Linked DNA regions of Caenorhabditis elegans. The protein of the gene in region 3 purifies or fractionates together with the protein of the main gene of each other region. This does not show direct contact. Each region holds a gene or a part of one and is shown on either strand. Other genes may lie near its edges.

Region 1 (3,757 bases), on a different chromosome or scaffold from region 3:
CGTACTACATCTGGAGATCCGGTTCCGGCGTAAGCCATCGACAGCATACAGATTCCAGTGGAACGGAGCATTGGATTGCTCTTAGCTCCGATTGCTTCTTTGATGTAAGGCTCAGCATCTCCTTGGAGTCCGAATGCGGCACAGGCAAGTCCAGTTCGGATACCACGTTGAGTTTTGTCATGCTGTGTGTCAACAGTGTATTGCTTGAGCTCATTGAACACCTCTTGATTCAGATGTCCAGCCATGATAAGGCCCATGGCGATTCCTGCGGATTCTCCGGAAACTGCTTCATCACGTTGGAGAACTTCCCGAACTTTCTCGTAATTCGAAACAGAAGACGATCCAAGTCCAGCAACTCCAAATCCAAGACAAGCTCCGTGTCTCACTGGCTCGTTTTCGGCGGTTTTGAGCCACTGAGCCAGAGTGCTCATGGCAGTTGCATCTCCGTGTTTGGCGTGAATCAATCCATATGCCAGCATTGCTCCTCCCTCTTTAAATCCAAATCCTTCGACAGATTCCTTTGGCAAATATGGCTCAAGTACCTTCATTGCAGACGATTCTTGTCCGTGATGAATGAGTCCAAGTGAAGCGACCGCATTGAACTTGTTCCAGTTCGTAGCTTTGGAAACCCAGTTCAAGTTGTTACGGAGGAAATCGTCACAAGTAGTTCCATATTGCATAAGACCATTTGAGATGAGAAGAGCATTGTGGGCAGAGGCTGTTCGAATGTTCTCCTTGATCTCTTCCATTAGAACAGAATCAGTGTGATTATGACGGACAAAGAAGTCGAGGTAAGCCTTGACAGTTTCATGACCTTTGAGAATTGAATGAATCTTTTCCATCGACTTCTCATCACGAGCATCCTGCTGTTGGAAACGTTTCAAAACTCGATCGAGGAATCCTTGACTCGCTGTTTCATATAAATCAAATGCGATCTGATATGCACGAGTGCTGAGAGACTTCGCGATCAAACTCGTAATCGTGTCAGCAGCGGCCTCGGCGTTATCCGTGAGCACGTAACACTGAAAATGTTTATTTTGTAATTTTACTTCGATATTTGTATAAATCATACCTCGCAAATCTTGGACATGTCCGGCGATGGGCACTTCAAGTACGTCTTGATGACTGTATCGATAACTTGGAATCGGAATGAACGATCGAACGCGCCATTGACAACACGGTTGAGCGTTTCGACAAGTGTAGCTGCACAAAAAAGAATGACGTTTCAGCTTAGTTATTATTGACTTACTCTGATTCTTGATGGTCAAATCTGCAGGCATCGCGCTAATGGCCCTGTCGATCATAGCCAGATTGGTCGTCTCAAATCCTAACGAGATGACAAACCATATCTCTCGTTTATCCAGATTTCTAGCAACAATTCGGTCGATCAAATCTCGGAGTTTCTGAGGAATTCCAGATCCTTGCTTGCTCAGCGTCTTGTACGTGTCAATGGCCGTCTCGATGATCTTGTTAACATATTCTGCGTCGTTTCCAAGACCGGTTCTTGTAGCAGGAACGACGTTGAAATCACCACGAAGAGCAAACTCCAAAGCACGTTCATACTGCTCCAAGCAGAAATAAACTTTGGAGACGAGCAGTGCAGCGGATGAATGCTCTGGGAACGTGTTGTTGTCAAGGAGCTGCTCTACAGCTGGAAGGGCGTCAGCGACCTCAAACCATGTGTTCACAAGAACATCCCAATCGTTAAATGCTTTGAGAACGAGCACTTTGTCGGTCACTGCTGATTTCGGTGACTCGAGAACACGAATGAATGCGGCTGAAAATGAACAATTCACAACGTTTCTTGATAGATATTAGTTTTGATACCTGCGTTTGAAGCGCCTCCTGGCTGAGATCTCCATCTGTTCAACAATGTCAACATCTGAAAGAAATCAAAATTAAAAACAATCCGAAATGAGAGCAGCTAGGAGAAGATAGTTGCGAAGCATAGTTTATTATAAAATGTTTTTCTAGGTTATCAGAAAAACAGCTTTCTCGTCTTAAAAGACAAATTAGAAAACGTCTAAAAATAAATCAGGCGTTTTAGAAAATCATAAAATTACTCAAACACCAACAATGGATGAACCGAACGAAAAGAATGATTGCGAATGACAAATTTCGTCCAAAAACACATACATTTTCAGATAAAAGCTGACAATTTCGCGGTTTCCCGCTGTGGTCAGAATTGTCATCCTCCGCGATGTGCGTCAACTAATCGATAATTGCGCCAGCACATGGGTGTTGGCGCATTTTCTTCAAAGTTGTTTTCTTATTTTTAGACAATATTTTTCCCAGCAATTCCGATAAAAATAGCATATTTTAATTTTTAAAATCAGATAAAAGTGTATTGGTGTCTAGTTTGACCGCTCTAATGCTTAATTTTTCACTGATCGTCTCAAAGCTATGCGGTGGTTACTGTATTAAAGGCTCATTGCACATAGTTATGACATTGGTTTCAGTCTGACTTAGTTTTTGTAGTTTTCAGAGGAACATTTCCGAATTTTCTAGAACTTTCTATATCTTCGAAAAGCTTACCTTTCTGCGTGTTGGATATTTTCGGCCGAACTAATCAATAAAAGTTTATTGAATAATTTTCTTTTTCCTTTGAAAAACTAGTTTACCAATATATTCAATTAAAATTTTACGTTTTTAGGCGTTTTATGTTTCCTGGTTCAACATGGACAGTTATTGTAGAACAAATCGCCGAATACGAAGAGGTTATTGATCCAAAAGCGTTTTTTGATAAGGTAGTTATTGTAATTTGGAATATTGTAATTGAAAGAAAAATTCAGATTATCAGTCTTTGGAAGGAATATCCAAACGCTATCAGTAACAGAATTACAACTTCAGTTTCAGTGGATACAGATTCAGATTTATGGAATGAAGTTTTAAGAACATTTGAAACACATTACAAATTTTGCCCGAGAGATTGCAGCGAAATAGCTATTACGAAAATCATACACAAGGATCTCGCTAATAATAAATTCTCAGATAATGCGTTTGAAGTTTCTTACTATGAAGGTTTGTTTCGAAGTTAGTCTTCTTTTGAAATGATGTTTTTGTTTTCAGAAGAACTCCTTGTACGATTCTACCCAATTACTCTCGATGGAATGCAACACCCACATTTCGAGAGCCCGTATTCAATTGCCATTAAAATCCCAACAGATACATCCATTCAACTTCAGTTTTTGAAGCAAGCTAATTCCTCTCAAGAACATTTTGAATTTATGAAGAAACAAGCATTCAAACAATTGTACACTTGGTTGAAAGGAATTGATCTTTCAAAGTGAGAACGCTATGATTTAACAAAGTCTAAACGTTTATTGCAGATCATCTCGAAAGACAAATTCTCTACTCGACAAAGAGTCCTACATCAAGACATATCGTCATATTCGAGAGGATTATGGCAGAGGAATGATCAAAGGATGGACAGAAAACTCTAATCCACAAAAATCAATTTTCGAGGATTGTGGGATTGCTTCATATATAAATGTAAAATTTATCTATTTCAATAAAATTCCCATCTTTCAAAATATTTTTAGGAGCTTGTCAATTCTGATCTCCTACCAAAGCCGAATAAATTCGTGGATATTGGATGCGGAAATGGTCTTCTTGTTCATCTTTTGAACAAAATCGGAGTAAGATTTTTTTTTTAATCGAAAATTGATTTAATTATAAAATTCATTTGATTTAACTTTAGATTTAAAAAAATAAATGTTTAGATGTCTGGATACGGAATTGACGTTCGTCATCGAAA
Region 2 (3,172 bases), on a different chromosome or scaffold from region 3:
TTTATTATTTTGAATACCTGCCGAATCTTTCTGGAATATTTGAATTTGTGAGATTAATTCCACAATTCTATCAATTTCGTGTTGTTTCTTCGCTTTAATCCTCTTCCTTACCAATCCATTCGCCGACGATATTGTACGGAAAGATGCCTGAAATTGTTAATTTTATATTTTAAAATTTCAAGATTATAACTACATTTAACCCATCTCTTGTGGTTCCTGTCCATTGACGCCAAAGATCTGAAGGATTTTCCACACATTTCCTATTGTATTCGAAAAGTTTAAGATTTGCTTTCAAGTCTCTCAGAGAATGTGGAATAGAGGCGCAATCAGCTGACACAAGATTATCCGATGAATTTACGAAGACTATGACGTCTTCAAGCTGAATATAATTTTAGATTAGATACATTTTTGTTCTAACCGATTCTAGATTCAGGTACTCTCTCCATTCATCTTCAAGCAAATCCCAAGACGACGAAGCAAAGTATTCGATGCTACGACTATTCAAGATCCTCCGATACTTCGAGACAACTTCATCGAATTTGGAACTTTCCATGAAACTCAAGTTACAAAATTACATTTTTTGTTCCAAACCATTCTAACCAAGGTACTAGAGACAATAATTTATGTTTTTGTTGCAATCGATATGTGATAGGGGAGTATATATAGTTCATTGAAAACATTAAATGATTTAACAGTGAAGTTTAGCACTTCTCCTCGATGATGGCTTCCTTGACAAGCATAAGGGTTGGAACTTCGGTTCCATCAACATCTCTGTACTCGATGATGGCGACTTGACCGTTCTCAGCTCCCTCAGCGGCTCTCTCTCCAATGAAGAAGGCGAGGTTCTTGAAGCGATCCTTGGCGAGAAGGCTGACAACCCATCCTTGAATCTTCTTCTTGAAGGCATCGACATCAGCCTTATCACGGTTGTTCTTCTCCATGTGGTCGATGACGTTCTTCATGAATTTCTTGATGTATGCCTTGAACATACTGGCATCCTCGTAGCAGTTCATCTCAACGAGCTTGTGGTTAAGGACAATATCGATACCACGCTCGACGTGCTCGTCAGATCCATCATCCTCGGCTCCTTCCTCAGCAGATGGGTTGGATCCAGCCAAAACGATCTCTCCTTCCTTGCGGACAACGTGCTTTCCCTTGAATTCGTAAACAAGATCATCAACCAACTTCATTGGGAAGGAGTCGGACGAGAGCTCATCATCTGAAATTGTTCGACAATCATTATCAATCTATAAACAAACAGCATCACATCTACGGCAAAGTTCACAGAACAAAATTTGATCGTCATCCATTTACCACACGTAACTCGCCAATTTGACACCCATGACTATACAAATTAGGGCAACAATGAATTCACAGCAAAACGCAGCGAACTCATGAAGCGATCTAAAATGCACAATCACAGTCAAACTAGCTTAAGGAGTGTGGAAAACTTCTTCAGAAAAAGAAATCTTACCGGTGAAAATATCCTTGTAGATCAGCATTTTTGAAGGATGGGGCCAGTAACTGAAATTACGAGATTAAAAATTCAAACAAGAAACAAAAAAATAGAGATATAGTTAAGTGTTCGATAACACCACAAAGAAAAGTAATTAAAAACGCTTTTTTTGGAGATAACATTTCATTAACAACAAATTCAGAACAACTTGTGGATTTAGTCGAAGAGACCGAATCCCATGTCGTCGTCGGATTCCTCCTTTGGCTCTTCCTTCTTGGCGGCTGGAGCAGCAGCAGCTGGGGCAGCGGCGGCAGCTGGAGCAGCAGCAGCGAACTTGCTTGGGTCGGCAATGAAGGCCTTGATGGTCTCGGCCTCCTTGAAGGAGACATCGGTGACGGCAGCAACTCCCAACATGTTTTGAAGTCCGTTGGCCAAAGAGTGGGCGACGGAAGCGAGAGTTGGGTAGTTGACGGCCAACGAGACGGAAGCGACATTGCGAACTCCAGAAAGGAAACGCTTGCGGAGCTCCTCGGTGGTCATGTCCAAAACTTCTGGAGTGTAGAGGGTTCCATCATCGTAAACTTGGCGAACGACCAATCCATATGAGAACGGAGTAACTCCCAACATGTTGAGAAGAGCAGATTCGGAAGCTCCGACCTTATCTCCTTCCTTGATGAGATGGACCTAAAATGAAAACATTACAATATACTATTAAAAATGAAAACTAACGTCGTTCAAGATTTCGATGGTACCTCTGGCGATCTTGGTTGGGATCTGAAGAGCCTGGAAGAAAGAGGTCTTTTCTGGTCCCATTCCAGTGTTCTGTGGTGGAAGCTTGACGTCGCATGGAGCGATGGCACCAGCCTTGGCTGGGGCTCCTTTACGGTTTTCCAAAAGCTTGGAGCGGATTTCTCCGAGATCTTCCTTGGTGAAAACGAATCCGACGTTCTCGACGATGTGTGGCAACAACTTCTCAAGGGATGGATTCTTTCCGAGGTGTCCACGAAGAGCCTTACGGATCATGGTGTTCTTTCCCATAAGGATCTCAGCATGTCCTGAAAATTACGATTTAAAGGAATTGAGAATATTAAAAATAGTAACCTCTCATGGCTTGACGAATCTCTTGCATTTGCTTGGATCCAACGTTGTCAACGCCGACGAGAAGGCATTTTGGGTATTCCTCGAAAAGCTCGACAAGCTTGGTGAAGTAGTTAGCCTTCCAAGTAGATCTGTCTTCCCTAACCATCTTGGTGAATTAAGGATCGCGTGCGGTTACGTTTTAAAGACTGAAAAAATAAATTATATTAAAACTGAGGTCTGAAAATGTACAATTTTGAAAATCGGTGGTTTTAGTGCAACAGAATTGAACGGATTCACATTTTTGAATATAAATTAATCAAATTTTGAAAAAATCGATCACATTTTCAACAAGGAAAAGGAAAAACAGTGAAAAAATTTTAGGAACACTGAATGTTTCGCCTCTCAACAACAGAAAATGTGTTTCGTCACGAGACCCTCAAGGCGGCAGCAGCCATGCGCCTTTAACTTTTCTCGTAAATCGACACCAGAATTATCATTAATTTTGTTGAAAGTGGAGGGAAAACCTCCAAATCATGATATTTCTAAATAAAAAACAGAGAAATTATTGATTAATTTCAACACCAATTAAAATATTCGAGTCCGGTGATGTCAAAATCAGAAAATCGGTGTATATAC
Region 3 (3,757 bases):
TATACATTTTAGCTTTAAAAATTTCATGCAAAGCTGTGTAAAACACGGTGAAAAAATTTGAAAAAAAAACTGGCTGATGGGTGTTAATTCAAATAGAAATTGCCTACTTTTTTGCCAATTTATGTTTCAGTGACGATTTGAATGTTTTATTGGTTTTTAAATATGAAATGTTCTCTATAAGGAAAGTTACTAATAATTTTCCAACAATAAGAACTCTTTCAAAAATTATCTTGAAAACATATAACAACTGAAGTTTTATTTTTATTTTTTTGTTAAATCGTTATGTTTAGTAAAAACTTTACATTTTATTTTATTTTACAGTTTATTGGTTCTTCTTGGTTTTAGTTGGAAATATTATGTTTGAAATTCATAGAAAGTCGGTCATGTTTTACTTTTTCACTAACTTTTATTAATTTTTATGTCACTAAACTAACTGTTAGTTAAATTTGTAAGTTTTAAAACTCACTGGTAACAGAAGTGGCCTTTTTAACAGTTTGAGAGCCTCGGTTGCATTTGTCGTGTTGGAGGTTGACACGTCGATATTATAAGGTAATTCACTCTCTGTGGCTTTTTTACTAACATGCTGTTGCTTAGCACCTGTCCTCCCTATGAAAATTCTCTTCCTATGGTTACTCGTTGCATGCGTTGATTGCGGGGTCTTCTGATTAAAATCCGATGCGATATGAGACCTCTCATGCCTCTCTTCATCATCTGACTGCTCTCCAAATTTTTCTACCTCTTTTGTTGAAACTTTCGGTAGTTTTGTGTCAGTCCTGTCACTTAATTCTTTAGAAATATAAACTGAATTGTCATCAGGTTTCATTTTCACTGGTATTATCGTCACTTCTTTGCTCGTACTGGGCGGTAACTTTCTCAAATATTGCTGCACACTTTTGTTTGAACCATTTTTCGCAGTTAATTTTTTCTGCATTTCTTGGCGTGTTTTCATCAGTCTTAAAAAATATTCAGAATGCTTCGGTTTTTCCGTCATTCCTTTTTGTTCTGAAAAAATGAATAATAGAAACATTTTTTAACGTAATCGAACATACGATTTTGTGAAATGAATGTTGTTGGTTTACTTCTTGTACAAAGGTTTTGATTATCTGAAAAGTTAATTTTATCATATTTGAATTTTGTCTTTAAAAAAATACAAATCGTATCCATTAACACCTACTATATGATCTGGGTAAGCTGTAAATTGATGTTATCTCTCCAGGCAATGGGGTTGAAGTTCTTGGGTATTCATTTAGATCTGAAGTTGAAAAATTATAAGATAATTGACAAAAACACTTTACTTACCTTTGCTAGTGCATTTAAAATGATTATTGATTTCCAGATCGTCGAAACTTTCATCAGCCTGAGTATATATAATATTTAGCGTTTTATTCTTTTTTTTTAAAATTAATTAGAGTTATTGCTTCCTTATAAGCCAGAAATTTCTGAATCGGGAATGTACGCAATATGTCGTGGGGGTGTTTGCACAAGGATACTACTCAATAAGTGGTAACACTGCACATCTCACTGTGATTATCGGTTCTTATTAAAAGTGTAAAGACTTGTGTTAAGTGAAAACACCAAGTTATTAGAATAGCAAATATTGCATCGAAACGTTGAAATTTTACAAAAGTTTTGACACTTACCAAGATGGAGTCGGAAATTTTAAAGAATGGTGCTAACGATGCCATTCTTATGGAGTTAAACTGAAAAAATTAAGATTTGTGTTGTTAATTATAGAAAAAAGGACGAGAATTGAAATAAAGGATGAGTGAGGAAAAAAAAGCTTGATGGACGGAAAGTAAACAAAAACTGATACACAAAAAGTTAAATAAACAAAAAGTGAATGAAAAGTTTAGTAAGTAAGTAAGTATTGTAGGTAAACGGGAACAGATGACTTTGTGGTTTTCAGACAAAACAAAACTTTTAAGGCGAGTTTTTTTAACCATTGAAATAATGAAACAATAATTTGATTTGGCTTTTTGAAATCTACCTAATTGTTGTCAATAATTAAAGTCAAGTTTAACTGACTTGCAATTTTGTTTTGGTTTGAACAATTGGCATAGTTTTAGAATGTATATTGTTAAGTGAGAACTTTCATTGAAAAACCATTTTCTCATCTCTGTAATCAAAACCAACTAATTTCATAAAAGTCATAAATTGAAGGTTATCATAATTATGAATTGATCAATTTTTGAAGCACCTTCGTGATAAAACTGACCACAAAAAAACTAAATGATATCGGCGTGTACACATGTGGTGTTAGGCCTAAAATCCGATATTTTCTTTCTTTTCGATAACTATGAGATCATTGTCGGCGGTAACGGGAAGGGTGACTAGGGGTCTTTTGCAACCTGGAATTGTGGGTGACCGGCATCGAGGATGACCGACATCGTGGGCGACCGTCGCCGTGTAAAAAAAAACGCACAAAAATGTGTTTGATGAATTGGGATTAAACATAAACTGATAAACAAATAAGCTATAACATTCGAACTACTTGGAGTATTTGAATTCGCAAATGGGAACACTACTTCTGTGCATTAAAGTAAAGTTTTCAGATAAATCAAACATTATCAACAACTGAAAACATTTTCGATTTAAAACTTTTAATGCTACTTAGCTATTAACCAAAATTTGAAAAAAATTTAACTTACTTGCCGGTCCTTGTAATTTGAAAATTAGATAGTGATGTTGAAAAATGTTCAACAGCTTTTATTTTGAAATGAAATAAAAATACTAATTCTAATAAAACAAGACATTAAAAGTTTTCAAAAAAATTTAAAGGATTGGAATCGGTCGTAATAAAATCGGTTGCATTCAAATTACAATGAGAAAACAACTTTTAGAATATATCGACAAGTACAGTTGGGTAGCCAGCATGCAAAACATCCAATACTTTCATTTTTCGATAACTATGAGATTACCGTCGACGGTAACGGGAAGGGTGACTAGGGATCCTTTGCTACCTGGCATCTTTGGTGACCGGCATCGTGGGTGACCATCGCCGGGTAAGAAAAACCTTAGAAAAGGTGCTTAAAGGTTGGATGGTAAACGTAAACTAACAAACAAGTATGCCGGGACATTAAACTAAAAACTATATTATTTGAACATAAGTTCGCCGATTTTTCAGGATATTAATAAAAAATCACATACCGGAAAAAAATTCAATCAGAATTTCTAAATGAGATTTAATTATCACCAATCACTCAAGAACCGATATTGAAACATGAGTATACTTTGTAAAAAATTTTGTTGCTCCCAATTGAGAATTAAAAAACAACAATATCGACAAATACAGTTGTGCTAGCAACAATACCTAAAAATCCAATACTTTCATTTTTTCGATAACTATTAGATCACCATCGGCGGTAACGGGAAGGGTGACCAGAGGTCTTTTGCGACCCAGCATCGTGGGTGACCGTCGCCGTGCAAGCTAGAGATGCGTTGCGGAGAAGAGAATTAGACAACGCCAGAGTTCAACACTACGAGACGAAACGACATCACTATTCAATTCTAAACTGTACGTACTAGCCACCTGCCTGGAGAACCCGTTGAAAATCGACTTGATCGATATTTGGTGAAAGGGTGAAAAGTAGGAGACACGAGAGGGGGAAAGATGTCAATGAGGACAGGGGAAACGTATTTTCGAGAAAGTTGACCTTATCGACCTTGAGCACAGATGGCTCGTAATAACAAACTGAGTGCAGCCGAAGACATAATCGGAAAAAGCAGCCGATAAAAGTTATAAATACATTCATCCAGA

What was found.
Region 1: the proteins of dim-1 (region 3) and rpn-2 fractionate together in Caenorhabditis elegans (co-fractionation; one large-scale study listed by BioGRID). This does not show direct contact.
Region 2: the proteins of dim-1 (region 3) and tct-1 fractionate together in Caenorhabditis elegans (co-fractionation; one large-scale study listed by BioGRID). This does not show direct contact.

Annotation. Positions count from the first base shown.
Region 1 is NC_003281.10:6,197,311-6,201,067, reverse strand, and holds the start of rpn-2 (26S proteasome non-ATPase regulatory subunit 1), read right to left. Parts: upstream 1,889-3,757; 5' UTR 1,883-1,888; coding exon 1,828-1,882; intron 1,778-1,827; coding exon 1,250-1,777; intron 1,204-1,249; coding exon 1,073-1,203; intron 1,023-1,072; coding exon 1-1,022. Other genes in the region: C23G10.7 (putative tRNA (uracil-O(2)-)-methyltransferase), read left to right, coding at 2,661-2,747, 2,793-3,021, 3,070-3,286, 3,330-3,492, 3,543-3,638, 3,723-3,757. UniProt on the Caenorhabditis elegans protein: Acts as a regulatory subunit of the 26 proteasome which is involved in the ATP-dependent degradation of ubiquitinated proteins.
Region 2 is NC_003279.8:10,567,464-10,570,635, reverse strand, and holds tct-1 (Translationally-controlled tumor protein homolog), read right to left. Parts: upstream 1,525-3,172; 5' UTR 1,503-1,524; coding exon 1,475-1,502; exon of another isoform or gene 1,224-1,474; intron 1,220-1,223; coding exon 702-1,219; 3' UTR 601-701; downstream 1-600. Other genes in the region: F25H2.12 (Methyltransferase domain-containing protein), read right to left, coding at 18-147, 194-379, 419-553; rplp-0 (Large ribosomal subunit protein uL10), read right to left, coding at 1,673-2,140, 2,186-2,511, 2,558-2,702. UniProt on the Caenorhabditis elegans protein: Involved in calcium binding and microtubule stabilization.
Region 3 is NC_003284.9:8,056,528-8,060,284, forward strand, and holds the start of dim-1 (Disorganized muscle protein 1), read right to left. Parts: upstream 1,694-3,757; 5' UTR 1,686-1,693; coding exon 1,641-1,685; intron 1,358-1,640; coding exon 1,300-1,357; intron 1,253-1,299; coding exon 1,175-1,252; intron 1,104-1,174; coding exon 1,050-1,103; intron 1,003-1,049; coding exon 467-1,002; intron 1-466.